Diceros bicornis minor: one gene and its partners. The protein of the gene in region 2 purifies or fractionates together with the protein of the main gene of each other region. This does not show direct contact. Links are inferred from orthologs where the notes say so. Each region holds a gene or a part of one and is shown on either strand. Other genes may lie near its edges.

Region 1 (7,539 bases), on a different chromosome or scaffold from region 2:
CTAAACAATAACAACCCCATCTGTAACTGAAATTTGTGATGACGCTGAATTTTTATTTCGCCCCAAAGCAAAGCTTTGCCACCACAAAATCTACAGCAGTCCTGTTCCAAGTATGCGTGGGACTTGGAGGGGCATGGATTCTGCAAGAAACCCTACACCTCAACCCTCCCACCCCGCAGTGGGGTGGAAACCCTCAGGTGGAGCCCAGTCCCCCAGTCCTGCACCACTCACTGCTGCAGATGAAACACTGGGCCAGACAGGGGCCACGTCTCCCAGTCCAAAACACGACAGAACTTCCTGCAGATTACGCTATGACACTCAAGCACTTCAGTGCCCTGCAGAGAATCACTCTGGCCAAGTGTCACTATGACACAGCTGAAAACCAGAACCCTTTCCTTTCCCAGGCCCAGGACTGCAGCAATCCCCTCCTCTGTGTTGTACTTGGGGAAACTGGGGCCCAGAAATCTGGCCCTCCCAAAGCTCCCAAGAAGGCAAGGCTGGAGAGGCTGGGACTGGGACCTCACTCCCCAGACCCTGAAACCCCAACAAATTAAACCACCTAACTTTTGAGCTACCCAGACTGGCCTTAAGGAGCCTGTGGTGGGAGGTGGGGTGGATACAGAGTTACAAAGAGAAACCAGAGTTGCAGCGGTAGATTGCTAATCAGTAACAAAATACCCCTCTCAGCCCAGTCCTGCCCTGAACTCACAAGCTGGGAGGGTATTAGGAAAAACTGTGCTGGCCTAGCATCCCACCTCCACCAGCCCAGTGCCCACCGCAGCCCCCACTCCAGGGCACCTGCAGAGGCCACTTGGCCACCAAACCAAAGACCCAGCGTCTCTCCCCTGCTCAGGCTGTCACCTGGGGAAGCACAGTCATTTAAGGCCTAGATACATTTTCTCTGAACGAGGAAAGGCTTTAAAAGAGCCAGAAAGGGCTGTTTAATCTCCACCTCCAGCAGCAATTGCCACCAGAACTGGGAGCCAAGCCACCAAAAATGTGGAAGAACAGGGAGGCAGGAGAGGAGCGAGGCAGCGGGGAGGAGAGGGACTGACTGAGGGCTGGGCATGATAGCCGGCTGCTCTGCTCCACAGACCAAGCTGGGGGCCCTCTGCACTGGGCCCAACAGTCTCAGGCATGGAAGACAGTACCTGGGCTTTCCTAAGGCCAAAGGTCCTCCCACTGACCACCGTGGCACTTCCTATAAGGCGACCAACAGTTTACAAATCCCTTCAGGGGCTTTATCTCCACCTCAAATCCCCAAGGCAGGAACCATCATTTCCATTCTACAGATAAGCAAACTGAGGCAGGCAGAGAAGAAAAGCCAAGATCCATTCCAAGCACATATCCCCCTGGAAAGTCCCCAAGCCTCGGTTGAGAAAGTTCCCTCCACCCTGAGCAGTGCAGGACTCATAGCAAACCAGGAAGCCTCTTAGCCCTGGTCCTCTGACCCAGCTGCCTCCCCTTCTCAACCCGGCTGCCTGTGCTCCTTCCCATCACTGCAGACAGGGCCGGGGAAGCCCAGGTGGCATTCCAGCCACGGCACACACTGGCCGCTGCTCAGATTTGGGGGCCGCCTGTTGCTCCAAATTACAGGGAAATTCTTGCGCTCAGAGGACCTTTCATGTTTTTCCATGAAGAACTTCCCGCTCCCAGACAAGGATCTCCAAGGCTGGAATGAAGTGCCCCCAGCCAGCCCTGCGGTGCTGGACACTGATAATGACAACTCCACAGAAGAGAAACTTTTCTGGGGTCTGGCAGGTCCCATGCGGGCTGCAGATTAGGAGCTGGGCAGGGACACGCCTCCACCACTTGACCAGAAAAACACCACCCAAAGCCCCACTGTGGGTGGCCGCGGCATCTCCCTGCCCAGGGTTCCGATGCCAGCTGGAGAAGGGGTCTGGAGTGGCGGCCGCCCCCGGAGGAAGAGGCTGTGGCCCCGAGACCCGCGCGGCCCGGCCCGTGCTGTCCTTACCGTGCAGGCCGTTGGGGATGCTTCGGTGGTGCGGCGGTGCCGACAGGTCGTCCAGGGACCTGCGCGTGGCTACAGCCTTGCCGTCGGGGGCCTTGTGCGGCCCGGGGGGCAGCAGCGGGGGCGGGACGTGGTGGTGGTGGTCCGGGCTGCCGCCGCTGCCCGCGCTCGACGTGCTGCTGCCGTCGCCCACGTCGCGGGTCCCCGCGCCCGCCGCGCCGCCCGCCAGCGGCCCGCTCAGGCTGGCCTGGCTGTCGATGGAGCTGCGGGAGCCCGCGCCACCGCCGCCCCCCGCGCCGCCCGCGCCCCCCGCCAGCGCCGCGCGCTCCTCGTCCAGCAGCAGCACCAGCTCCTTGAGCTCTAGGTTCTCGCGCAGCAGGGCCTCCTGGCGCGCCTCGAGTTCGCGCAGCTTCTGCTGCGAGCGGGCCACCTCGTGCCACACGGCGCCGGCCGCGTGGCGCCCGAAGCGCTGCCACTCGCGCGCGAGCTTGCGCCCCTTCTGCCGGTCGTCGTCGAGGAAGCAGCAGAGCTCCCGCAGCTCCTGGTTGTCGTCCTGCAGGCGCTGGTTCACGTCCTTGAGGCCGCGGATCTCCAGCAGGTGCTGCTGCAGCCGCCGGTTCACGTCGCGCATCAGGCCGCCGTGCTCCAGCATGAGGCCCACCTTCTCGCCCTCGGCGCGCCGCAGCCGCCGCGCCAGCTCCTCCTTGCTCCAGCGCAGCAGCTCCTCGTCCGGCACCTGGCTCAGCTCCTCCGACGCCGCCGTCGCCGCCGGGGGTTTAGCCATGGCGGGGCCGTCACCGCGGCATCGCCCGCGCCCTCGCCCGGCCGGCGCTCCCCGCGCCGGTGCTGCGCTGGGCCGGTCCGCGCGCGGGCGGGGGGCGGCCGGGGGCGCGTGCAGCCCTCCCTGCGCTGCCTCGCGCGCCCACACGCAGCGCCCGCCCGGGCGGCCCGGGAACCCGCGCGTCTTGGGGCTCGGCGAGCGGGGACCGCAGCTGCGTCGGCGGCCGCCGCGCCGGGTGCTCTCCGGGCTGAAGCGAAGCAGGCGGAGGCCCGCCCCCCGCCCAGCTCCCGGAGCCCCGGCCGCCCCGCCCACTCCGGGCGGGGAGGGGCGGGGCGCCGCGGCCCGGGCCCGCCTCCGGGGGAGCGAGCGGGTGTAGAGGCGCCACAAGCCCCCGACGTCCCCCGGCTCCGTGCGCCCGCCCGCTCGGCGCCCTGCCAGAGGCGCGTTCGAGCCGCGGTCCCGCCCTCCTGCCCGTCCGATTGGGCCTCTCCGGGGGTGTGTGGGAGGGGCGGGGCGCGCGCAGGGGACGCCGCCGAGATGGTACAGTCCACCCCTGGGCTTCCAACCCCCCTCCCGGCGGTTCAAGTTTCTGCGCCCGGAGGACGCGGCCTTGGCCAATCCCAGGGCTACAGGGAGCTTTTAAAATGCAGGTACGGCTTCGGGGAGGGGGAAGGTGGGAAAGGTGGGGCAGGGCTTCCCTTAAAGGAGACGCGCGGAAATGGGCGCCGAGCCCCTTCCCCGGCCCGCGTACCCCGCCCGCCCTGCCCCGCCCCAGATAGACAAATACTGTACCCACGGTCCGGAGGACAGCTCCCCTTCTCCCTCCCGGGGACACCAGAGTCCAGCATAGTCTGAGATACGAGGAACAATAGGACTCTGACACAGGGGTCGCTCTCCCCGGCGGCAGGGCAGCTCTTTGTCCCCTTCTCTGCCCCCGGCTCCTCCGCCCCCACCTCCACCCTCGTCCCCTGCCGGAGCGCGCAGAGAGGCTGCGGTTCTACTCCAGACCGGGGCTGTGGCTCCGGCGTCTGCGCACGGGGAGAGCCAGGGCCTCGCCAACCGTGTCCCGAGCGCGGTCCGTACCCTCTTCTCAGCCCGGAGGGGGCCAGGGCGCCGGGAGCTTGCCCTAGCCCGGAGCGGCGTTCAGAGCACCGCTCCCCCGCCAACTGGACCACTCGTCCCGGGAATTCGGGGGAGAATCTGTGATTCGCGAGGTGGAGACCGACCACTGGGGAGGGTGGAGCAAAGTCTCCTACTGGGGTCTTAACGCCAGGGTCGGGGGGCGCCGAGCCGCACAGAACCCCTTCACCACCGGCAGCCTCGCCCGGCACGCGAGTCTTCCCACAGCCTGAGTCTGTCTCGTTATCCGCGCGTCCCCGAAGCGCGTTTACGACGCGTCTGCCGCGAGCCGGGCGGTGGGGGGCGTCCCTCCCCCGGTATCCCCAACGAGATAAAACCCGCGCGCTCGACCGTGAGCGGCCACAGCCTGGAGCGCGCGCCCGCGCCGCGGCTGGTGTCCTGATTTACAGCAGCTCAACCATTCGCTCGACAACTGTGTACCCAGTGCTTGCTCTAAGCCAGGCCTGTGCTAGACCCCTGGGGGGCTCTGCAGGGGACGACAACAAAGGCCACTGCCCTCTGGGGGGACTTTGCACTCTAGGGGAAGGAGGGGAGAGAAGATAATAAACAAATTAGATAACTGAGACTGTCGTAAGTGCCGGATAGGGGATTAAGACAAGCTGCTGTCACAGAAAGTGATGATCAGTTACTTTAGATCCCGTGGTCAGGGAGGTCCTCTGAGGAGGGGCATCTAAGCTGAGATCTGAGTGACAGGAAGGACAAAGATAAAGGGGAAGGGCAGTCCGGCGGATGGAACAGCTAGTGCCGAGGCCCTAGTGGCCTCTTCCAGGGAGGCCAGTGGGGCTGGGAGTGGGCCAAGGAAGAGAGATGAGAGATGAGCTCAGAGGGACAGGTTATGCATGATTGGAAGGCAGCTGGGAGAGCAGTGGGGGGTTAGCAGGAAGCAACATGACCTGATGTGCCTTTTAAGAGGCTCACTGTGGCCTGTATGTGGAGAAGGGGTGGGGGGGTGCAGAGAGGGGCAGATTTGGTACCTCATTCCCCACCTGTCCGCCCCTCTCTCCAGGTGGATGGTCAGGAGAGGGGGATGGGGAGACGATGAGCCAGAGGGGCATGGCTTTGAGGGTCAAGCCCAGGGGTGCTGAGGGTCCCCCAGACATGGCCCAGGTGAGCCAGCTCCTGGCTCCTGGGTGGAGGGGCATCCTCCTCACCGGGGCTCTGTGCTCCGCAGGCCGAGCCCAGCGCAGCCTGAGTTTGGGTTTGGAGAGGGAAGGGGTTTCAGCTCACACTTGGGGAGGCTGCAGGTCTTTCCTAACCCAGGAAGCCAGATTAAATAGCTCCCTGGAGGCTCCCCACAGAGCAAAGCCTCTGCAGAGAGCTGCTCCTGGGAGAGGGAGGGATGAGCATAGGATACTGTGGCTCGCTAGGAAAGTCACTGAGACGTTAACACTGTGCTTGTGGCCCCTCCCCATTTGTTGTGGCCCCAAGTGGTTCCTGTGGCCTGCAGCTCCGTCTCCTGATCCTCCAGGGCTAGCAGCTTCAGCTGAACTTTCCAAGAGAAAAACAAAGCCTCCATCCAGGCAGGGTTTGTTTTGCATCGTCTACAGGCAGTGGGACCGAGAGTGCCCCGGCCAGGACCCACGAGAGCACCTCTGACACCCCCCTGGTGCAGCAGACAAGGTGCTGGGACGAGGCTACCCTGTGGCTTGAGGGAGACTCTGCTCTCTGCACCCTGGCTGGACAGGCTTGGGCAGATCAGAATAGGACAGCGGGAGGGTGGGTGGGCCCAGAGCTGAGACAGGGGCCTGAAGCAAGAGGGACCGTCCAAGCCAGACCCCCTCCCTAAGGGCCCTCGTCCCCCAGGTCCAGCAAGAGGTGCTAAGCCCCCTAGAACTCTCACCATCCCACAGACGCTGTAGCTGAGCCAGGACCCGATATGTCAAGCGTCTGCTTTTTCAGCTCCGTGGTCATGATAAGCTTTGCTTTGTCGTGAAGACAGTAAAACCAAATCGTGGATCTCTAACAGTAGTTCTCTAGCTGCCCAGTGAAAGTAGCTGTGGGTCTTTTAAAAAATGAAGATGCACCACCACTCCTCAATATTTTTCTTTAGGATCTCCTGGGCTGTGTATCTCCATTTAAAGCTGCACAAATGTTTTTGAGAGCCAGCTGGGAGAGAGCCAGTATACTAACCCATAGTAGACAAAATATTCCAGAACGCCGGGTCTGTGAGACTGGGAAATGATAACAGCATACTGGTGGTAGGCAGACTGTCTTCCCACTGGGAGGGGAGGGCTGTCTTATTCTCCTCTGTGCCTGGACCCTGAGCACAGACCGCAGAGCAGGCATCATTTGATGTTTGCTGAGTGAATGAGCGACCCTTTGGCAAGTGACCAATGGAGTCAGCCCCTCGTTTTGAAGATGAGGAAACTGAGCTCCGGAAGGGAAATGACTTGCCTCAGGTCACTTTCATTCATTGGTTTACTGAACACACAAGCATAATTAGATAAGTATTTATACATAAATGCATCTATATGTGCAACCATATATGCACTGTAAATGCTTTGTGTAGGTACCACAACAGAGATGAGCAGAATGCATCATTATGGGAGCATCCTGAGGCGCTGGGAGCAGCTTCCTGGAAGAGGTAACTCCCGAGGTGAATCTTGAAGAGCAAGTAGGAGTTTATCAGATTGAGGAGAAGAGAGGAGATGGCTGGGATACACCAGGTGGAGCGAACAACACAAGCCAAGGCCCAAAGGTGAACCACAGTGAGGTGTGTGTGTAGATACAGCCATGCCTTATTGCTGGAACATACTGCAGAGGCACTGAACAGCAGCGAAAAGTCACAGAGCAGTCAGGTAACGGAGCTGGGCTGAGGAGGGCTTTGTGAGCCACGGGAGGAAGGGTGGCCCCTCCATGGGGCTGATAGTTATCAGCAGGAACAACAAGAATAATAATAACCATCACCTCCTACAACTTACCCAGCACACAGTATGCACCAGGACTCTAACCCAGCCCTCTTGTGATGATCATAACGACCCTATGAGACGGTGTCGTGAGCCCTTCTGAGACGGTGTCGTGAGCCCTTCTAGGATTTAACATGGATGCCCGTTGGCTTGGCTGTTTGTCTCCACGAAGCTCAGGTCACCGAGTGTGAACTTATGGGCAGTTTTCGGAGGTTGGTGGACACCCAAGGACTCTGGTGTGGCCAGTGGAGGGTTGTGTGGTGGCTGAATGTTTCTGCGAGTCAGTGAGGCGATGGCAGCTGACCAGGTCTGGGGCCAAGCTCTGCGATTTCTTCCTTGACGACCCCCCCGGGGAGGGGAAGTCACCATGCATGGCTGAAAGGCTATGATGCGGCAAGAAATCAGGGCCCATGCAAAAGCGACCATGATTATTGTTAACAAAGAGTAGTGTCAAGGGAGCACTTTCTGTGTACCCGGCACGTGCTAGGGCTTTACGTGGGTTGTCTCGTGCAATCCTTACCGCAGCCCTGTGAGGGGGGAACACTCTAGCCCGTTTTATAGAGGGGGAAACTGAGGCTCACGCAGGTCAAGTCACTTGTCTGAGGTCACAAGCGAATGAACTGGGATTTGAACCCAGGACCATCTGAGCCCAAGAGTGCACTTTACCCTATAAACTACTCCTTCTCAAAGAGGAGGAGTGGACCAGCTGCTCTGCGATGTCCCTCCCGCTGTGCGTCTAG
Region 2 (7,910 bases):
CTAAAGAACTGGGTTCTAGTCCAAGTTGGTTAGCGTGACACTGAACAATATCTTAATCTCTGAGAGCCTCAGTTTTCTCATTTGTAAAATAGCTTCTTTCATGATGGAAAAATGGAAAACACATATATGAATGAATTTATATCCAATAGTTTGTGGACAATAGTATTTACAATCCACATTCATACTATTCATAATCTAGTATAGTTATTTAAATTCCTTGATTAGATTTAGGATTTGATCATCAAAAAGATAGAACTTCATAGATTCACATAGGCAAGAAAGGGACACTGGAAGCAATCAGCGGAGGCATTTACTCCTTATAGCCAAGTCGAGTACATTTCTGAATTTCCCATCAGAGTAAATTTGAATTAGGAAATCATTAGCAGAAACAAAAGGCAAACTTACACATACACAACATTTAGTTAAGAAACTTACTAAAAAGTAACAAAACTATAGATTATGAATAGTACGAATCCATAAACTGCTGGATTCACGTGCAATTATTTACTAGAAGTGTAAGTACACTTTTCAGGTGCAATTCTTTTGGGCTTATACATGCCACAAAATGAGGAATTCAATGTCCTATATGTATTATACTTTCAAAACATATTAAGTAACCAGCTGCATAGCTGTGTAGTCTGTAGGGTGCAATGGTAACACACATTTACCCATAATGAGTCCAGACACCCACTTCCAGGGGGAAGAGAAAAAAGCATACCTAAGTCTACTTCTTACAAACTGAAGTGTTTCGGCAAGCAGCTAAATTGTTTTTCCTTCCTCCTCCTTAACCCAGGTTTTTGTCAGCAAGTCAAGGGAGTTTCTCTGAGTTCCAAAACCCCCTTAGTCTGCGGCAGAACATACAACAGGCCTGCAAACAGGAGGGGGAGTGGGAATGGGAGTGGGGGTGATAACTCTTCTTTCCACTCAAGTTACAGCCCGAGTGGACTAACTACATTGCAGTACTTGGAAAACCAATTAACTTTTGGACAAAGTTCCTAGGCTGAAGTTTAGCCTGAAGCAAGTTTTTTAAAAAAAAGAAAGAAAGGAAAACCTACACTAAACAAATCTACTGGGGCCTGTCGGAATGTTAACACTTTCATAATAGTTTCACTTCATTGCTGGATGAAGTTGACAAAATAAGCGAATGTTGTCTATGTGGAACAGCCATGTTCATATCCTCAATAAGAATTAGAAAAGCAATGGCGAGCCTCAACTTAGTCATCGCTTCCCAAACATTAACTTTTAATCACAGTTGAACTAGGCAGGACTCGGCCTATGAGTCAACCTGCAGTGTATTATCAAAGGCTTGTGTTAAAACCAAGGCATTGTAAAGCGCAACTCAGGACCTGCGCAACGTGCACATGTGGCTAGTTTAAAAGCATTTCAGCAGACTGTAAATAATAGTCCACAACTGGGAAACCAACACGTGAACCTACGAAGTTTGATAAGAGCGAGCCTGCCCCAGTTCCAAGGCGCAAGGGAAGCGCGGGAGTAAAAGCTAACTCCATAAACAACTTCCAGGAAAGTCTGGATCCTGTATTCAGAAAGCGCCGGGGCCGCGAGGAAAATAAATGCTTTCGGGAGGGGGAGGGGGAAGGGGAGGGGGAGAAGGAGCAAGAAACTAAATGGACTGGTTGAACCCCCACCCCTAATCAACACTGGAAAACAAGAGAACAATTATTTGACTCCCCAGGAGACTGAAGTGGACCGAGAGGCCCCGAAGGAAAGGGGGCCCAGGGCTCAACTTCACAAACTCGGCCGCCACTGGCAACTCACCCACACACAAATGCCAGAGGGGGGGCCCCTCCCCCTCCCGGCCCGGCGGCGGCGAAGGTGCGGAGCGCGGCGGCGCGCGCATTGTGCGAGCCCACCGCGGCCCGGGCCCAGCTCTCCCCACCCCCTTCCTTCCTCCCCACCTCCCCCGCCACTCCCGCCAACCTCCCGGGAACCCCAGGAAGAAAGAAAGAAAGGAAGAAGGGGAAAAGCACGCCCCCGGGGCTGCAATCGGCAGACAGAAACTCCGAGGGGAAAAAACAAATCTCGGCCCCAGACTCCGGGAGGAGTGGGGAGCGGGGGACCGCGGCCGAGCGGGCGCCTCCAGTCCCTCGACTTCTCCGCGAGGTCCCCTGCCCCCACCCGGCTCGAGCTCCCGGAGCCCCCCTCCCCCGGCCGGCGCTGCGGCCGCCGCTCCCGAGCGCCCCCGGGCCTGGGGCCCGCCCGACGAGTTAGCGGGGAGAAGGGCGGTGAGGTTACCTGTCGGGAGTGGGATTTGGGCTCCGGCGGCTTGAAGAAGGAGTCAGGCAGCTTCCGGAGCCTCATGGGCACGGTCTGGGGCACGTTGGCTGTCTTGGGGTTCATGACGGCGTTGAAAAGCGCCTCCAGGTCGGTCTCCGAGTCCCCCCGGACGTGCACGATCTGGTGCCCGGCGGGGGGGGCCTGCGGCGCCGCCTGGGACCCCGGGGGTGCCTGCTGCCCGGACCCGGACGGCGGGCCCTGCCCCTGGGGGGGCTGCGTGGGCGCCTGCCCTTGGCCCTGGGGGGCCGACTGAGGCGGCGGCTGCTGCCCGGGATCCATGGTTTCTGCCTCCCTCGACGCGCACCCCGACCAGGCGGGCTGAGGGCTCCGCCCGGGCGCCCCGGCTCGTCGGGCCGAGACGGGAGAAGCGGCGAGGGCGGCTGGGCGGCGGGAGCGGCGCTCTCCTCGCTCTCAGGGCCGGGGGGCTGCGCCGCGGCCCCGCATCCCCCGCCCCGGCGCCTCCGCCCCCGCCCTGCGCCCCGGCTCCACTGGTCTGGCGGCTGCGCCTCGGGAGGGGCTGCGAGAGACCCGGACTTGCGGCGCCTGAGAACTTTTCTGCCTTCACTCCCTTGACGGATGCCGGACAGCTAGTTGCCTTTCCCCTCCCCCTTTCTCTTTTATTTCCTTTTCTTGTTCCTTCCTTCCTCCCTTTCTTTTCCCCGGCGGCGGCTGCGCCCGACTGAGACAGAAACTCGCCTCAGACGCCAAAACTAAAGTTGAGAGAACCGCCCGCCCGCCCGAGCCGCTCGCCGGCTCCGCCTCCTCCCGGCTCTTCCTTCCTCTGCGCGCCCGCCCGCACGGGATCCGCGGCCGGCCGCGGAGGGAAACTTTTCCCTGCAAGTTACAACATTCCTGCAGACTCCGGGCCTCCGACGCTCCTCCCGGCCACACGTGACCCAGTCGCCCTCAGTCCCGGACTGCGCCAGAGCTTCCCGGCGCTGGGGCCGAGAGCGTGCCTGGCCCTCCGCGACGGGAGGGCGGCCGGCCCGACGACGAACGTTGGGTCCAGTCTGGGTCGGAACCCTGGCCTCTGCGGAGAACGCGGCCGCCCTTGGCCGCAGGAAGTCCTACCGCCCAGCCCGGCGCCTTCGCCGCCAGTCCTCGGGAAAGGCGGACAGGCTTCCAGCTCGCCCCGGGATGCGAAGGCCCGAAGGAGTCGGGAGGGGACGTGTAAATCCACTTAAACTGCCCTCCCGTTAGCTGTACTTGACCATCCGGCGTGCCAGTGCGGCCTTAAATCCTCAAGGATAGGTTGAAGTTAAAATAGATACCCCAGACTGGCACTGATTTTAATAAGGGTCCGTTTTTTAACATTAACTTGATTTTTTTAAACTTCTTCATATGCAAAAACCCACTTGAAAGAGATAAACGATTACTGTGATTTGAAGCTTTGAGACTAGATGTGTGATTCAATGTAATTTACTAAAAAAAAAATGCATTTTTTAAAAGTGAAAACTTTTTTTAACACTCAGACTTGCAACATGGTCATGAAAAGCTCAACGCAAAAAATCAGTGCTTCACTTCGGTTACAGCATTCCTATGTGTACCTGCCTTTCATCCTCGAGGGGATGGGAGCCTACCCCTCATCCCTGTGCCTGGCACAAGACTGGACTCTGTGAATGTTGACTGAATAAGAAATGGATGGGCGAGGAGCTCACTTGGTTCTGTATATGGCAGTCTTATATGCAAGGAGTCCATTTGAAATCACTCAAGAGCAATGAAAGTTTGTTTTTTAATTCATACATTCTAATTTTTTTAAAAAAACAGCTTTATAGAGATATAATTCACATACCACACAATTGGTCCATTTAAGCAATTTAGTGTTTTTAGTATATTCACAGAGTTGTACATCACTCTAATTTTAAATCCACTAGCCCCTTCTAAACAAATCTGGCTTGTTTTAATGATTTTGTCTGCAATGCTAGTGAAACAGATGTATAAATAGGATTAAGCAAGAAAATGTCCCCTGAGCAAAAAGATAATCTCTTCCTCCAGCCAGGACTTGCCCAGGAGAATTCTGAGGAAGAATCTGTATCACTTGGTGGGGTAGGGTGGGGCCAGGGGAAGAGGCTTCAGACCCTCAAGATTGTAAGGCAAGATTCTAATCAGCTGCTCTGGACTCCCATTTCCTCTGAAAAAAGGAATCAGTGACGCCCATGACTGCTTCTTGGTTTTATCCCCACTCCCATCCCCAAATGTCAAGTGCATTTAACCACAAATGTGTAGGTTCTGGAGTTATAGAGATTTGATTTCAGATCTCAGTTCCACCATTTACGAGTTGTGAGACATCAGACAAGTTACTTATTTCCTGTTTTTTAATTTCCTTAATATTGGGGTCAGGGGTAATAACACCTACTTCATAGGTTGAGGTGTTAAATGAGACAATGGACATAAAGTAAGTATTTAGCCCAGTTTTTGACATGTGGTGAGTTCTGCATAAATGTCAGCTATCATTGTCCCATGTTCACAGATTACTTCACGTGTAGTAACATGGCCTCTCCTTTGCAGCAACCCCCTTTAGGGGCCCTGTTGGCAGTCTCTTCATCTCACATCCAATAATCTATCCACACAAACAAAGACTTTGGCCAGAAACTATGCATTAAAAACTTCAACTGAAAAAAAACTTAAGAACCAGTGATTGAACACCTAGGATTGTAATGGAAGCTGTCGCTTAACTAGAGCATTTACTACTATGAACACTATAATTAAAGGGCTTAGGGTACAGCAGAGGTTGCTTTGTTCAATATTGTTTCACCTGCCATTAAACTGAGAACAAAATTACTTTGATAAGTGGATTGAAAGGCTGTTTCGAGTTATGTTCTGTAAGCATCGCTGTAGCATCAACCAAGATTTTGGAATTTACTATTCCTCATTTATAAAATTTCAATCATGGGTTGATATGGGATAAAGATAACATGTACGCAATCCTTTGTCTCCTCTCTTCCTCTCCAGCCCCACTTTTAGAGCAATTATCAGTTTAAGGAACCTTGAGATAGGGAGTCGCCTTCTTCATACAAAGACCCACCATTATCCTGGATCATTTTCAATATCTGTATAGATAACTATCTCAAAACACTAGTCTTACAATGACTTGCCCTCTCAACTACAGTGGACCCTCATCTCCACTCCACTTTAGCTGCCTGCTCCTGTATCCACACCCTGTCATCCAGAAATACTCCAGTTGCAAAATCCAACAGTTATACTATTCTCTTCATAGCCATTTCGTTCTCTGGTTTCATTACTCACACCTCTCTCTTTTCTACCAACTTATCACTCCCTCCTGTTTTCACTTCTTTCCCAATTCACTTTAGAAATCATAACTCATTGCTTCAACCTCTCATAATCATCTATGCCCTCAATTCCATTGCCCCATGTATTTTAGTGAATTGGATCTATTAAACTGGATAATCCAGTTATCTGTCTTTTCCATTCCAACACCTAAGGCTTATGGCGGTCCGTGCCCAACATTCATTGAAAGCTTCAATCAAAGCTTTTGACGTTTTGTCCAAGTGAGGTTGTACTATCATCCCAGAGATGTACTGACATGACTACAAGAAGGCATTCACTGTAGAACTTTAAACTTTGTCCTATTACCAAATGACACTATCTGTAATGCATTATGAATTAATATTTTAAGTAAATTCTGTCATTATCTGGTGAATAGCACAAATATATTGCATTGTAATCACTGTGTGTTAAAAGTATTAATTTGCTAAGTGTAAGCATTTGAAATGTACTCTAGTTTTATAACCCTCTCTTGGCATTCCGGTATGACTGAATATACTGGGGACTTGAAAAGAAGAAGTATCCAGCCCTCTCCCAGCCTCTGGAAAGTCTAGTTGACACCCAGGTTCCTGGGGACAGCTGGAGGGAATCTCACAGGCGAGTGGATTGGTGCCCCTCCATATTTATCGTCTTTAACCAGGTTTCCTTGTGTCTGCAATTAGCTTATCATTCTCATGATATGGCTATTCTAAACTGTACCACTCTCCTCATCACATTTATTCATCATCTCCCTACCCTTCAGAAAATTATATCACCTCCATCTGCTCAGAGAAATGGAGGTCACCATGCACAAAATCCCTAAATCTTCCTCTGAACCTGTGGAAACATATATACAACCTCACAAGCCCTACCCTCCACAGCTACATTTTTGGAAAGAGCAGTCCGAATGACTGTTCTTCACTTCCTCACCTTTTGTTCATTTACCCTTTCACTCAACACACCTAAAACCGAACTCTTTACCCCTAACCTCCTGCACTTCCTACCACAGACACACCCTCCAAAGCCACATCCTCCTTCTGATTCATTATCTCAGTTAATGGCATCATGATCCACCCACTTGTTCAAGCCAGAAAACTGAGCGTCCTCTTAATTGCCTCCCTCTCATCATCACTTACATCCAACTGGTTAATAACGTGTGTTGATTTTGTTTCAGCTCTCTTAAGTCTGCTGCCCAGCTCCATGTCCATTTCCACTTCTACTTCACTTCCCATCATTTTTTTGCAGAGCTCCAAAATCATGTCCCTGCTTCTAGTTAATGTGGCTCCATCAGACTTCTATTCTGATGTCAGAGTGATCTTTCCAACATAAAAGTCTGATCGTGTTGTAATGTAATTCAGGACAAATTCACATCTCTTAGGATGATAGATAAGGGCCTTAACCATTCTAGTCTTTGCTTCTCTCCTCAACCAATCTCCTGCGACTCACCTATATATGTTCTGTTTTCCAGGCACACTGCATCACTTGTGGTTCCTTGAATAAGCCATTTTCCTTCTCACCTTTTGGCCTCTGCAGATGTTATTCTTGCTGTTTGGAACTCCCTTACTCCCCTTTTCACCTGGTTTCCCTTGGTACTCAACCTTCAAAACTTAACCCATTTGTCTACCCCTAACATGAAGCCCTCCTTGGCGCTCCCCTTCTCACTGGTCTCCACCCCACAGTAGGTGAGTGGCTTCTTCTCTGGGCTCTCACAGAATCCGCCCACCACCTCCAGCATAGAATTTACCATAGTTTGTTGTAATTATTTTTCTGTGTCTGTGTCCCCGACACCACTCTGAGTACTTCTGCAACAGTGCCTCTCGTCTCTTTATTCCTATGCCAGCAATGCTTAATAGTAGGTGCTCAATTAATATAGAAAAGAAGGAGGGGAAAGAGGTAAGGAGGGATCCCAGAGCCCAAAAGTAAAGGAATGGGTTTGGATCTCAAACAACTTGCTGCCATGATTCCAATTTTGAAAATTCAGTCTCCACAGACCAGACAGGTGTTTCTATATTATATACCTCTAAGACTTACAACACTTAATAAATGCTAGTGAATTTGCCTGAATTTTCAAATATTCTTGATGGAATAAAAGTAACAGTTAACATTATGCCAGAGACTGTGCTAAATGCTTTAAATGGAGTATCTCATTTAATCCTTATAACAACTCTATAAAATTAAAAATTAGGGACTGGCCTGGTGGTGTAGTGGTTAAGTTTGCGCATTCCACTTTGGCGGCCCCCGGGGTTCGCCAGTTCGGATCCTGGGTACAGACCTACTCACCACTCATCAAGCCATGCTGAGGCAGAGCCCCACATAGAAGAGCTACAACTTTACGACTATGATACACAGCT
Region 3 (7,219 bases), on a different chromosome or scaffold from region 2:
AAACACAGGCATGGAGGTGGAAAACATTGCGAGTCAAGTTTTAGGTTAACTGTTTTTCAATTAAAATATATAATTTTATATGTCCATGTGTTGTCTACGGTTTTGTTTACTGTTTGAAAGTAAAATTACTCTGTAATTAACAAGTATAACTAATAGCAAAGAAAGCAATTTATTTTCAAAATTAATTTTAAAATGGTGGTAATGAGAAAATCTAAAGATAACCAAAATATCTGAGAAAAGCTCAAACTAAATTGCATTCTCTTTATGCCAAAAACATCTTTTCTATCCAAAATACTAATACTCAAAATTAACTCAGCAGCATAAACATAAGAGAATAGTTTAAGACAGTTATACCTAAAATACGTTTAGCAGAACAAACGGAATGTAAAACATCGAACATCTAAAGGATATCTTTAAAAATGTAGGCACCTATCCTTATATTTTCACATATCTTGACTTGTGGCATTGTATAGACAAAATATCTACTTATTTGCATTATTTGCTGTTTTCACTCAGGTTTTTTGTTTATGTTTTGAGGTTTTTTTTGGGGGGGAAGGTTGGTGGAAACAAATTTCTCACATAAGGCTAAATAGAAAATTCTAGGCCCTTGGACGATGAACATTGTAAAAGATATCTCTTGTATGGAAATTCAAACTTCTACAATTCACATATATTCTGAGTTTTTCATATTTCAAGGAAGAAAATATAACCTACAAAATGGGTAGTTTACAAAAGGAGAAATGGGACGGTTAAAAAAAAAAACACATTTCTTGAGCCAACTGCAAAATGAAACTTGCCCCAGAACGCAACATCCCCTTTCCATAACAATTCATTCTGATTTCTTTTCTGATATAAGACCCAGCGAGATACCCAGCTCTAATTGACCTGGACTCCTCTTTCCACGCCACCCACACACGGAATCTGAATTGGTGCGTGGGGGGCAGGGGGCCGATCAACAAATGGGAACTGCCGGTGGCCCGTGGGAGTTTCGCCCCAGGATTCCCAATGCAGGAACTGGCACGATTCCTCCCCATTTTCCCCCTCCCTCAAGGCCTTGCTCACCCTGCTCTCCAGAGACCCCAGAACCCAGGGGACCCAGGCCCACCTTCACGAGTTCAGAGGCTACACAAGGCCGGAAGCGCCTTTCGGAGCGCGCTCTCCTCCCTGTCTGGCTCATCGCCCCCTCCATCCCCGGCGTCCAGTCCCGCGAGTGAGGACAGCCCAGGAACCCGTTTCCCCATCAACCCGCCGCGCGCTCGGCCTCGGGGGCTCCGCGTCTCCCCCTGGCGAGGGCTGCCCGGGGAAATCCTGATCGCATTACGGAACCCCCTCGGGCTCCTGTGAGAGGCTCGGGACCTGACACCCTCAACCTGCAGCGCCGCCGCCTGCGATCCCGCCGCCGACACCCGCCCTCCAACTAACGGGCCGGGCTGGCGGAGGAGGCCGCGGGGCGCGCCGAGGGCGCTCTTAAGCCCCAGGGGTCACTCCCTCCGCGCCCAGGCCACCGGCCCGAGCCTCCCACGACCTTTCAGAAGCAGGAGGGACCCGTGGGATTTCAGTCCTCTGAAAGTCATCGTAAGACAAATCCGCACATTTCATCTCTGTTCAAGGCGGGCGAACTGAAGGCATTTCACAGGTTTCCTCATCCCTCCCAGGCGGGGCGCAGCGGGGAGCTGGTCCGGGCTGAACCGGGCGGCCCGAGCCCCCGCCCCCTCCACTGGCCCGCGCCGCCCCGCACTCGAGGGTCAGGCGCCCAGGACCCGGGCGCGCGCCGACCCCAGCGGCCCCGCCTTCCTCCGGTAACGGGAACTGGCGCGGGGCTGTAAGCCGCGCAAACGCCCCCGTCCTGTCTCCCTCTCACCCTCCCCGGGTCCCTAGGTTCGCCCGGGACCCTCTTGGACACGCGTAACGCGGCCCACGGGCCGCAGCCGGCACCCGGCGCCCAGTCGCGGGCGCGAACGCCTGGCGCCGGCGCCCCACGAACAGTGGCCCCCGAGCCCGGGAGGGGCCGGGCCGCTGAGGCTCAAGCGGGTCAGAGAAGGGGTCGCCGAGACGGGTGGCGGGGCGTTCCGCGAGGAAGGAGGAAGGTGGGAGCGCGCGGAATCCAGGCGAGGGGGGCGCGGGCAGCCCGCGGTGTGGGGTCGCCGGGATGCCCGGGGAGAGGGGATGCCCCGGAGTCCAGGGGAGAATGCCGGGGATCCTCGCCCCTGGGGAGTGGGGGGCGGGGTGGAGCAAGTCGGGGTGGCGGCGCAAGGAGTGGGCACCTGGGGGCTGCTGGGGGGAGGGGAGACGGCTCAGAGGAGTGGGTTAGAACATGGGCCGGGAGGCTGGAGGGGTGATGAACGGATGAAGGGGACAAGGGCTGCGGTGGTGGCTGCGGGCACAGGTGGGAGAGGGAAGCATCTGCGCAGGGTCACTGCGCCCTGAGCCCGCAGGGGGATCTGGAGGAAGAGGGCCAGCCAGGGGTCCCTCGGGTCAGAGCCACCAAGGTAGGAGGCCTTGGAGGCCGTCCGGGCGCCGGCCCCCGCGGGCAGAGAGACGCCGGCGGGCAGGTCCCGCGGCGCCCAGCCGGGGGCGGGGGGCGGCCGCAGCTGCTTACCTTGAAGGCCACGGGCAGGGTCTTGTTGCAGCGCCAGTGCGAGGGCAGCACGGAGCACAGGAAGTTGGGGCTGTCGGTGCGGACAAGCTCGGCCGGGTGGTCAGCGATGATCTCCACCATGGTGCGGTTGTCGTGCGGCGGCCGCAACCGGGGCACCGCGGCCGCTGCTGCCGCCGCCGCCGCCGCCGCTGCCGCCGCCGCCGCCTCTTGCTGCTGCTGTTGCTGCTGCTGCTGCTGTTGCTGCTGCTGCTGTTGCTGCTGCTGCTGCTGCTGTTGCGCAGCCACCACCGGGCTCACGTCGCTCATCTTGCCGGGCTGCAGGCTGCTGGAGGGGGGGCTGAAGCGCCGGCTGGTGCTCGGATCTACGGGAATACGCATCACAACAGCCACAAGTTAGCGAAGTGGCCGGGGGAGGGGGAGGAGGGTGGAAATGAGGGGCGAGGAGGAGGAAATTGGGGGGGGTGGAGGCGAGACGGGGGAAAGGGGATGGAGGTGATGGGGCTGAGGAGGTGAGAAATCAAGTTCGATGAAGCCAACTGCCGGGTGGAGTCTGACGGGCCCCGCGGTGGCGGTGCGGAGCAGTTGGGTTGGCGGGTGGGGAGACCCGGGAGGCGCTGATCCTGCCGAAGCCTTTGGAACACCCGGGGTGGCAGCTGCGAACCGGCGCGGGGATGTGTTTCGCCCGGCGAGGCGGGGGGCTTCAGTTTGCAGCTTGGAGTGGGGTCCCTTGGGGCACCACGTCCTGGGTGCGCTGGCGCCCCCTCCCAGTTGGAGTCCGGCGGTGGAGCGGAGTGAGTTCAGCAGTCCAGCTCCGGGGTCGGCATAGCCGCGCGCCACCCGCCACCGCCGCGCCGCGCCACGCCGAGCGCAGCTCCCCAGCTGCAGGCGTCCGCGCCGCCGCCCGCCCGCGCCGCTGCCGCCGCCTCCTCCGCGGCGGCCGCCGCTCCCCCCGCGCCGGCTGCACGCTCAGATTCCTCCCGCGGCGGCTGCCAGCCCGGCCCCCGGGCTCGGCTCCTTCCTTTCCCTTCTCTTCTTCTCGCCCTCTCACCGCCACCTCCTTGCATCCACTCCCTCCTGCTCTTTGCAAAGCTCCCCTGATCCTCGCGCTTCGAGGTGCCCAGAGGTAAGTCGCGGGCAGCGGAGCTCGGGGCAACGGATCTCGAGCCTGCGAATCGCAGCCGCTGCCGCCGCCCGCCGGCCGCGAGAAGGAGCCCCCCGGACGCCGCGCGCAGCTTCCGAAGCCGAGAGAGGCGGCCCCGGTCTAGGGGGAATCTCGCCTGGTTGCGTCCTCTTGCTTCTCCCCCCTCCCCCCAGGACAAGGAACCCCCTCTTGGTCGGATGAGGTTGAAGCTGAGACGCCAGAGAGCCGCCGGCTGATCTGACTGTCGTTATTTTTCGTTGTAACTTCAGGAGAGGAGGAAGGAAAATTCTTGAGCGTCTGTGCTGACTTCTCAGTACTCTTCACCCTTCCCCCACCCCACCCCCACCTCTGCCCGAGCGGCTCCTGGGGAAAAAAAGATTTTGCAGGGTTTGGGTGCTTTTTTGTCTTAAGTGACACAAAAAATTGGGGTGGAGGGAGCACTTGTCAAAATAGTTTTTAGAAACTCAAGTGGGTGGCTGGACACTTTTGTCTTCTATATTCAAACTTGTCGTTCCTAGAGAACAAGGATGAGTTTTTTTAAGGACTGGAAAACTGTCGGCTTGATGATTAAAATAAGTTGCAAAAACCTTGCTGGGGAAAAACCCCAGCAGTCTTCCATGAATTTCAATCTTTTATTAAGTCTATTCTGCATCTAAAACTAAGTCTAATGTCTTAACTTTCTTCCCCACCACTCCCGGGGGGGGGGAATAAAAATACAAAATAAAATATTCAAAATGATTCAATGGCTATTTATTTATGTATTTATTTCCCAACCTGGGTTAAAAAAGCGACTTTGGATCCCCCCAAAAAGTTGTGGTCGAGAGGATGAAGGAGCGCGGGAAAAAAGCGGCAGTTTTACCTAAAATGTGGTTTTTGGAGGCTGGGATTTCTAATGATTAGGTTTTTGTGGTTTATATAGACACGACTCTGGCTAAGGCGATCATTACGCTGATGAGAGTCAGAAGCACGTGGGTGTCTCCGACCAGCCTCAAACTCTGAGCCTTCAAAACAAATCAAACAATGTGCGGCGCCCACAGAAGCCGGGAAATCCGCTTGAGGCTATTGCACCCCTAAGAACGGGGCACAGGGCCCTTTCCACTCCACGTTGTGTACTGCTAAGTTCCTTGCTTACTGTCAAACGCCTTTAACCTCCCAAAGCTTGAAAACGTGTTTGCAAAAAGAATCATCAGTTGCCAAAGTTTCTAAGGTTCCTAATAGCGTAGCTGACACAGTAATAAGTGATTTTATAAAATAAATGAAAAATTATAATGCCTGGCCCTAGGAGTATTAAGGAAGCAAGATAGTTGAGTCATCACTTATCTCCCCTCATCTTATTTAAAACAATTCATACACCCATTAATCGGCGAATTTATTGCTCAGCGCAAACGCCTCTGTCACTCTGGTAGCGACCTGCCACAACCCTCCCTCTCGGTTTTTAAAGCTTTTCTTCCACTGGCTGAGACGGCGCTCGGGGTCTGCGCCTTTGCAGGGGCCTGGGAGAACTTCGAGAGCATCGGGGGCAGAAGGGGGGCGCAGAAGAGAAGACCTGATTCCTGTCACGGACTCTGGAGCCCATTTCAAGCGCAAGATGAACTGGCAGGGATGCAGTTGCATGACTTGGAGACCAGGATTGCCCTCTAAAGAGATGCGAGGGCGACTGAGCGTCTTCCAACCGCTGGAGCAGAGGTGGGGGGCGGGGGGGCTAGGCGTGCGCCCTCGCGGGAGTAAGGATGGGGTTCAGGGGGCACTGCTCTGTCCTTCCTCTTTTGGGCTTTATTTTTACCTTCCCTTTCTCCATTCACAATTCCACTCCTCCCTTGTCCGTCTTTCCCTTTCCCACTTTTCTCTCCACGTTCCCGCCTCTCTCCAAAATCCCCCCACAGACGCGAGCTTCGTCGCCGCGCCCCTCCCGCCTCCTCTGCCTTCCCAAGGCCGCCTGCCACCCTCGGTGACGCATTCTGCATCACCCGCTACGACACCCCCTCCTCAACCTACTCCTCGCCCCTGGCCACCTGGCTTCCAGGCCCGGGCGCCGCCGGGGTGCGAGGACCCCCTTATCCCGGCGAACTTGATGCACAGCGAGGAACCAAGCTGTCTGCTGCGCGTGCGATTTTTAATTATCTTTTCGGTCACAGGGGAGAGCTCTAACCCCGGGCACCGCCGCGCCGCCTGAGCGCACGGGGGTCGACTCTTCCCGAGCTGCACGCGGCCGACCCGCCAAGGGAAGCCAGGCTTACCCATCAAAAAAAGACCAGACTGCATCCATTACTCTGCTACCTTACACACCCACTCACATGCATTCGGACGCGCACTCTCGCACATCCACACTCTGACACTTATAAATACACATACGCAACTCACACACACTCGAATCTTTTATTTTATTCTTTTATTTTTTTGCCTTTTAGCGGGGCAGTTTTATTTTGGGCACGTTGTACCACTGTCTAACAAAGATCTCTGACTTGTTTTGTTTTTAAATGTGTGGGGGCTGCAAAGGAGGGAAGAAGTTACAGGAAGTGGATTATTTCTGTGGTCAAAGGGAGATAGAAATTCAGTAACTACCCTAGTAGGTGATATGCCGCCTTCTCTAGGGTTTTCCTTCTTCTCCCAGGAAGTCCACAGAACGGGAAACTTCCAGAAAAGACGCTAAGTAACAGGCAAGATTTCAAATATGGGCGACCAGATGGGCTTTTTTGAATAAGAAATTCTAGGGCAGTTTGAATTTAAGTAATCATCTTGGGGACTTTCCTCTGTCTTTCTCTATCGCTGTTTTGTCCTTTCTTTGTTTTACTTGGTGGATAGCAAAATATGAAGGCCTCAAAGGTTGAGTCCCTTGACTGGGGATTTTAGGGGCGATTTAATCAATGGTGAATTATTTATTTTAATTAATCATATCCGGTAATTCAGCTTTATAGCCTTCCTTGGGCATCCTCCCTCCATTTCACATTTCAGTGGAACTAATATAAGCAGCTCTTGGAAGTCACTAGTCTTGGATCCCTTAAAATATCCTACAGTTATTTATAATGTGGAAATGAAATTTTCCACTGAATACCCTAACAACGTTTCAGGTATCTGGCACAGCGGGTTTTCAGTCTCCTTTCAAAAATATCCTCTTGCTGAACATTCACACTTTCAACTGGAACTGACTTAGCCTGGAACTGATGATGTCTTGGCTCAGAGCATTATACTTAGAGGAAGAAAACATTTTTACAGACCCCTAAACTAAACCTCTCCTGGTAATAGTAGGCACATAGGAAAACCATGAAATTTTACATATGTGTATTTTGTGCTATAGTTTGCATGATCTCACTCTTGAGTTTAAATTTTCTTCTACCCCAAATGTTCAGAACAAATCACCACTAGATTCCTCTTCAGAGGTATTCATCTTTTCTGTTGTATATTATGGCATAAAAAACAACATACATTTTTCTGAAAATGTGGCTACTTCAGAAGATATAAGCATAATTTTCCCCTCCATC
Region 4 (7,450 bases), on a different chromosome or scaffold from region 2:
CATCACATATAGTAAGGACATTATTTCATGAAACTTGAGTGTGTGTATATACATGTGTGTACACTGATGTATGTGTATACTGAGGTATGAGGAATGAATGAATGAATGAATTTCTTATTGTGGGTCATGGTCAAAGTTTAAAAGCCACTGATTCGTGGTCTAAGATTATTTAAATGTTCCTGCATATTAGCTTTATTTAAGATGTGACACCTGCTGATAGAAGAGGGGTACACAGTCTAAGTAACAGTTTCGCGAGTTCCAAACCAGATGCTTTATTATTCCAAGCCAGTGTTTTCCAAACTTTTTCAAGACCTACAGTAAGAAACACATGTTTAAACTGTGATTTTATACTCACATACCACACACACACAACTACACACATAATTGAAACAAATTTCACGACACAATACTTAGCCTTACCATCTGCCCTGCTTTCTGATATTCCTTATTTTGTTTTTTCAAATGCTAATCCTGACCCGTTAAAACAACTTCATTACCACCCACTAATGAACTGCTTCAAGCCTGAAAAGCACCGTCCTGGGAGATGATTGTACTTCTGACCACGGACTGAGAGAGCAAACTGTGCCTGCCCAGAATACCAAGGAGTGGGCACAGAGGCCAGGCCTGCTCAGGCAATGTCCTCAAGCTTCCTTCAGTATTAAAGAGACTTAAATGGGGGAGGGCAGTGACACTAACCCAGACACCTCTGCACGCAGAATAAAAAGACATAGTGCAGTTATGAGGACCCTCCTCCAGGGTTCCAAGGCTGCCCGAGGAGCCTAACCAGCATTCTGAACCTAATGTTTTACAAAGACAGCCGCGAAGACTGGGCGCTCCCAAGCAGCCCAACAATGCCCAGCGGTCAGTAGCTCCTGCCAGGAGTTCTCAGTGCCTTTAAAACATCCTCCAAGTTTTAGCTCCAGACTCCCAGCACCCAACCAGCTGACATTCCGACTTCATGGAAATCCCCTTTCATTACTTGTATGGCCTGCCATTCTTCTCAACTCTGCACTAACCCCTCCTTGTCCCTACCCCATCCCCAGGGTATAAGATTTCTAATTTCCATAAGAAAGCCACAAAGCACCAAATCACAGCAAATTCTCAACCTGTTGGTCTGCTGGAGGTGAGGATCAGAAGCTTGTCTAGAGGCACTCCACTGCCTTCTGCCCATTGCCCAGAGCCAAGGCCATTGATACCATCCACATAAAAGAAGAGGTGACAAGTGTGATGCGCCTGCCTCCCATCCAGTCCTACCACGCTCCAAGGATCAAGTCCTGAGCCCTTGACCCCACCCCTTCCAAGCTGTCACTCCCTTCTCTCCACTCTTCCAGCAGCGCCGAGTCTAGGCTGCCGGATAGTCTCATTTAGCACTAAGTACTGGGTCATCTGGTCAATCATCTCGCGTGTGTTGGCCAGGCTCCCTAACTAGCCAGCCTACAAGATTCCTGAAGGCAAGGACCGGTCAGAAACAGGGCTGGATACCTGGATACAGCACCAGGGGGAGGAAGGGGAGAAATGCGGGAGGGTCCGTGGAGAAATACAGCAGCAGATACAAGGGTAGACAAGGAGGCACAGGCAGTTTTGACGACCATGAGGTTAAAGCAACAGCAGCCGCCACTGTGGTTTGATTTAAGGGGCCCCCGGAGGAGGGAATCGTGGAGGGAGTGGATCTGCGCTGAGGTTGGTTAATAGGAGGCTACACTGCTGCTGTGGGAGTTGGGGGGTGGGAGAGGATACCTCGGACCGGTGGGGTGAAAAATACCAGGGTGCTGGGTGCAGCATGGAGCTAAGAAGTGCAGGAATGGGGTGTTGAGTTCACAAAATAAATGTCATAAGACTGGACGAAGCCACCAAACCTCGCAGGACCCTTACAAACAAGGCAGAGAGATTTGAAGTCGATGACGCTAATTGTGTATCGTAACAAACCGAGATACGTTCTTGAGAAAGATTTGCTGAGAAATACATATTTTGGGGGGGAGCTTGGGATCGGATTCTACTCCAGTCTGGTCATTCCAGACCAGCGACGAGGACATCCGCTGTGGCCGTGGGCGGAGACTAAGCCCGCACCGTGGCAGCTGCGGCCGCGTGGGCGGCCCCGGGGATCTCGGGCGCCCCCCGCCCACCCTCTTTCCTGCGAGCGCTCCCAGGAGGCCGAGGGGCGGAGAAAACTCGCAGCAGTCTTGCATCAGACGAAAGGCGGGCACGGCGGTTGCTGCTCCAGCCGGGCCGCCTTCCCTGCAGCTTCTCCAGCAGCCACGAGACAGGCTGGAACTCCGCCAGCGCCTCCCAGGGAAGGCAGGACGCAGCCGGGGGAGCCAGGGCTTGATCGCGGAAGGATCACGGGTCCCTGGTTCTGGGCTCCCCACAGGGAAGCCACTTTGATCCCCCTCCCCCAGTGCCCCTGAGCGGGGGGAAGAAGCGGCGCCCGGCTGCCAGGGCCACTGCGCGCGAAGGCGCTGGGGAGCCGCGCTGGCATCCCGCCGGCAGCCTGCAGGACCAGTTGGAGCAGCCTGCACTTTGCAAAGCTCGCGGGAAGCAAGCCGATGTGAAACACCGGGAGCAAACTGAGCGGAAAGTTTGCATCCTGCAGCTCGCCACCGTTCGTTCCTCCCTCCTTCTCCCCCCTCTCCCCAACCCCCAATTTCAAGAGGCCACAGGACTGACTGATACCAAGGAGCGGGGGTGGGGGTGGGGCGTGCTGGCCCGCGCACAGCCAGCCTGTTTCGGCTCAGAATTCCACGGAGCGCTCGTCTTTCTCCGCTCGCCTTACCTGCAGCTCGGCTATCAGCTCCTCCTTGCTCAGGTTCTGCTTCTCCACCACCTGCAGCCCTCCATCTTGCAGGATCTTCCGGCAGCAAGGGTCCAAGCTATCGCTGATGAGCACTTTCCGTAGATTTGCAAAGGCCATTGCTGGAGTCGGCTTCGGAATCGGCCCCTCTCGCCGGGCAGAAGCACCTCAGGCGAGAAGCTGCTGTTCCGGCTGGCGAGCTTGTGTAACTAGGCAGGATTCGCGATCTCCCGCTCCCCCTTTATCTCCCCCTCCTGCTTCTACTCTCTCTTTTTGATTGGACAGAAGTGCTCCAACTCTCGGTGACTCCGCCTCCTCCTCAAGGTTCTGAGCCTTCAGATTCCCGCCCACTTTTTTATTCTCGGGCAATGAACTTCTCAATCTCAGCCAAAGCCCTTCCCCACACCTGGTGAGCAGATAGAAACACAATTTACGCTGACTAGCTGATTCATATCTGAAATAAACTGAGAAATATTTGTTCTCAACCTGAGAGAAATGTTTCATCGTCTTTCCTCCTAAGGACTCATTCTTTAATTCCTTAACAAGCATTTATTGAACGCACATCTTAAGTGCAAGGCACCGTGCTGGATGCTGAAGGGGCGGGAACATCCTAAAGACATAGCCCCTTTCCTATGGTGGCCTAATATCCGAGGGTACCAAAGACATAGACACTGCAAGTTAAATAATAAAAAACAGTAGGAGGGGCCGGTCTCCTGGTTCGTGCTCTGCTTCGGGGGCCCTGGGTTCACAGGTTCGGTTCTGGGCGTGGACCTACACACGGCTCATCAAGCCATGCTGTGGCAGATGTCCCACATATAAAGTAGAGGAAGATGGGCACAGATGTTACCTCAGGGCCGATCTTCCTCAGCAAAAAGAGGAGGATTGGCAACAGATGTTAGCTCAGGGCTCATCTTCCTCACACACACACACAAAAAGGCGATAGGAAACTGTTTCCGAGACCTCACAAAGCAGTGATTAGTTCCAAATGAATGATGCAGTATGAATTATGAGTTTAAAAGAGACCAAGGACCTAGTGCATTTAGACCAGCCAGAATGTGGGTTCAAGTTCAGTATTCTCCTCTTCCTCCACTTCCTCTCCAGACTATGAAAAAGAAGAAAAGGAAAATGAGATGTCAGTCTGGCCTAATTTATATACTGACCAAGGAGGCGTTTCCCAGCTCTTAAGTCCTTATGTTTAAACCCCACAACAAACATGCTCTTCCAAGTCGCACTTGATAGAAATATTGGAAAATTCTGTTTTGGATTATTTAGGGCCACCTAGGATCTGAGGCAGAATCAGGGATGCTCATAGATGAATTAGAATTCAGTTTTATAGACATCCAGCCCAGTTAGCAGTGTATGCTGTTGTCCTGGACCATTCACAAAACTCAAGTATCCTACAGAACTGTGCAATATCAATACTATAAAATAAAAATTTTGGACTGATAGTGTGTAGGCACAAATCAGGTTTTAGACCAAATGCTCCCAATCGGAAAGATCATTTGTCTATCCTGTTCACTGGTTTGCATGATTTCTTGTTCCCACCTTCCAGCACTCATGAGTATTCCATTTCTATTCCTCTCAGGAGGTACCCAGCAGCCCCGGGAGGTCCTGGGAACAGACCGTAGATCTAGCCCTGGAGGCTAATGAAGGGGCTTGGGAAGCACCCATTTTTGTTACCACTGTCATTCAACTCCTCCCAGGACTCACCCTCTACTTTCGTTCAGTGGTTCAGTGTAGAATCTAAACCCTTTATCTCTAAAGTATAACCCCACCCCTTTACCCCAAGTCAAACATCTTGATTACTGTCTGAACTCACAACCCAGAGGCCCTTCCACATCTGTCACCTAGGCAGTATTTTCTTTATTTATTATTTGTGCCCCACCTACTTTCAAAATGGATCCAAGCTACACAACGTAAGACACTTCTAAACCCATTAAGAAAATAGTTAACAGATAAGAGTCCATTTCCAGGTGGAAAGGAGGATGTGTAATAATTTTTACCATGAACAAGCCAGAAACATTCCTCTTTAAATTTCTACGGTATTGTCTTCAAATTATCTCACAATGCCTCATATGTGAACATTTCATGTCTTGTACCCCCCAACTCTCATTAAGATCAGAGACATCATGACTTTATGTTCCTCTAACAGTGCCTAGCACAGTGCTTTCCACATTGTAGAAGTTTCATTCAAAAATTAATTTTTGAGCACCTACTATGTGCCAGGTACTATGGCTTACCTCTGGGGTTGTGGTGATACCTAAGACACACATCTTTCCTCAGACAGAAAGAAAAACAACATCTAAAGTATAGCTCTAAAGTATAAATAGAGATGTGCTTAAGTGCTTTGGGAGGGAGAAGGAGAACCCCCCCAGCACAGCCTAGGGGCACCAGGAAGGCTTCTAGCAAGGCTGACCCTTTGATGCTCATTGAAGGCAACCACCCTGAGAGGCCTGAGGATGCAGAGATAAGTAAAACACAATCTGCCTTCAAGGTGCTCTTGCTCAATTGCCTCATCTTGATAGCTGAATAGGAAGTAGCCAGGTAGAGAAGAAATGACATTTACAAGGACCCAGCAATGTGAAGAACTGCCGCGGGAGATGGCGGGGGGAGCAGGAGATGAAACTGCAGAGGGCCTAGGGGCTGCTCAGGAAGGGCCTTGTCCTAAGAAGGAGTTTAAACTTGACTGTAAAGGTAGTACAGAGGTGCTGAGTCATTTGTTAGAAGTGACAAGATTAAATTAGCTGGCTGAGCTGAGCCCTATATACTGCTAATGTAGATAATATCCCTCCCCATCCCACCCCCAACCCCTCACCCCATCTCCAACATCAATTGCAAGTGGAGAGTTTTTCTTTTATAATCAAGGATAGGAGCAGGAAAATGTTCTTCCTCTCCCTGTGTTATTGCCTCCATTCATAAAAGAGGAACTTTGGCCCTCTTGAAAGTATTAAGAAAATAATTCTGCCCTTCTTTCCAGACCCCTCACTCTCTCCCTTCCCCTGGCCCCAGCCCCTTGGGAAGAGAGCCTGTTCTGATTCATGAGTTTGGGGGAAAAGTCTGTAGGGGAGGAAGACAAATCCTCTATACACTCTAGGTCCTTCTGGCTGGGCTATGGACTAAATTCACATGAGAGAGAATAACAGGAGAAAATCAAACAAAGCTTTATAACATGTATACATGGGAGAGACCCAGGAAAAACTGGGTAACTCAGCCATCTGGCCAAGGATGTCATCTTAAATAGCATCTTCAGCTAAAGACAAAGGAGGATGTTGGAGGTAGTGGTTTGGGACTTCAAAGGGAAGGAAGGCAATTCACATGGAAATGGAAAAGCAAATGTTTGGTAAACAGAACTTTGATAAGAATGGGCTTAGCAAGGACCCTCACAGTCTACTAATACCCAGAGTGATCTATGATGATGGCCCGTCCTGGGGACAGGCCTTTTATCTCAAATTCTTTTAGGCAGTTAGGGGGAAGGCCAAAGTTTCTTTCAGAGTCTTTTCTTCTTAAAAATAATCAAGCCAAGGCAAAGAGACACATTTTGCAGTGGCCAGTTCTGATCCTAGTGTGAGCCCATGCCAACCCTTTGTTGGCTCTCCCCTTTGGAGCTGGAAGTCCACGAATAATGTGCACTCTCCTGCTTCCTTGTGTGTGGTGAACCCACCAGGGAAGGCCCCACCACAAGCACCTGAGGGTGCCAGAGCTACAGCTGTCCAGCTGCTCTGCCTCTAGAGGATAAGGTTAATGGGGGAGGGGGAAGCAGGAGAAGTAGGAATCCCATTTTTCTACTTGGAGCCCAGCTGTGATCTCCAAACTCACATTCTGAGTAATAAAACAGATATTTGGAGAGGTAGATGATGAATCGTCAGCTGCAAAACAGGTACATCTGGATTTGAATTGCAGCTTCTCACATTACTGATAATGTGACCTTGGGCAAATTATATTGCCTCTCTAAGACTTAATTTTCTTCTCTGTAATATGGGACTAATAGTAGGATAGTGTTGACTTCATAAGGTTCTTGTGAGGACTAACTAAGGGAAAGCAAACAAATAAGAGCAACCTGTAGTGCTTGCCTTTCATTCATTCATTCAGTCGGTCAGTCAGTCAATCAACACATATTTATTAAGAGCCTATAATGTGCCAGGCACTGCTGAGGGCACTGGGAAGGAAGCTTTGAACAAAACAAACACAGTCTCTGCTCTCGTGGAGCTTTTGTTCTGGTTAGGGACAGAAAATAAATAAGTAAATGAAAAATTGAACAAGATAATGTCAAGGTGTGATAAATATGATGAAGAATATAAAACTGAGTGACATGATAGAGAGGACAGGATGAGGGGACATCTATTTCAGATTTTATGATCAGGGAAGTCCTTTCCAAGAAGATGATATTTCGGTTGAGACTGAAATAAGAAGTTGACTATGCAAAGAACTAAGGAAAGGAAATTCTAGGCAGATTAAAAAGCAGAACAAGTCTGGCACATTCAAGAAACCTGCCCACAAATATTTCTGTAGCACTTACTGTCCGCCAGGCACAATGGCAGGCACTGGGATAATGGTACTGAACTAGTCACATTGATACCGAACCTCTTAATCTCAAGTTCGTGTGCCTGATGCACAGTAAACCAATCACTGAGACATCAGTGCTTGGAGATGGAGAAAGGTTTT

What was found.
Region 1: the proteins of YAP1 (region 2) and CCDC85C purify together in Homo sapiens (affinity purification with mass spectrometry; 5 studies listed by BioGRID and IntAct, with this or other methods). This does not show direct contact. The link is inferred for Diceros bicornis minor from reciprocal best matches to the Homo sapiens genes YAP1 and CCDC85C.
Region 3: the proteins of YAP1 (region 2) and RUNX2 purify together in Homo sapiens (affinity purification with western blotting; 4 studies listed by BioGRID and IntAct, with this or other methods). This does not show direct contact. The link is inferred for Diceros bicornis minor from reciprocal best matches to the Homo sapiens genes YAP1 and RUNX2.
Region 4: the proteins of YAP1 (region 2) and PHGDH purify together in Homo sapiens (affinity purification with mass spectrometry, with the first as the bait; 4 studies listed by BioGRID). This does not show direct contact. The link is inferred for Diceros bicornis minor from reciprocal best matches to the Homo sapiens genes YAP1 and PHGDH.

What each region holds. Positions count from the first base shown.
Region 1 is NC_080763.1:44,739,536-44,747,074, forward strand, and holds the start of CCDC85C (coiled-coil domain-containing protein 85C), read right to left. Parts: upstream 3,005-7,539; 5' UTR 2,757-3,004; coding exon 1,976-2,756; intron 1-1,975. UniProt on the Homo sapiens protein: May play a role in cell-cell adhesion and epithelium development through its interaction with proteins of the beta-catenin family. May play an important role in cortical development, especially in the maintenance of radial glia.
Region 2 is NC_080746.1:32,841,630-32,849,539, forward strand, and holds the start of YAP1 (transcriptional coactivator YAP1), read right to left. Parts: upstream 3,007-7,910; 5' UTR 2,575-3,006; coding exon 2,254-2,574; intron 1-2,253. UniProt on the Homo sapiens protein: Transcriptional regulator with dual roles as a coactivator and corepressor. Critical downstream regulatory target in the Hippo signaling pathway, crucial for organ size control and tumor suppression by restricting proliferation and promoting apoptosis.
Region 3 is NC_080753.1:20,602,679-20,609,897, forward strand, and holds the start of RUNX2 (runt-related transcription factor 2), read right to left. Parts: upstream 3,005-7,219; 5' UTR 2,978-3,004; coding exon 2,600-2,977; intron 1-2,599. UniProt on the Homo sapiens protein: Transcription factor involved in osteoblastic differentiation and skeletal morphogenesis. Essential for the maturation of osteoblasts and both intramembranous and endochondral ossification.
Region 4 is NC_080743.1:51,497,824-51,505,273, reverse strand, and holds the start of PHGDH (D-3-phosphoglycerate dehydrogenase), read right to left. Parts: upstream 3,005-7,450; 5' UTR 2,909-3,004; coding exon 2,771-2,908; intron 1-2,770. UniProt on the Homo sapiens protein: Catalyzes the reversible oxidation of 3-phospho-D-glycerate to 3-phosphonooxypyruvate, the first step of the phosphorylated L-serine biosynthesis pathway.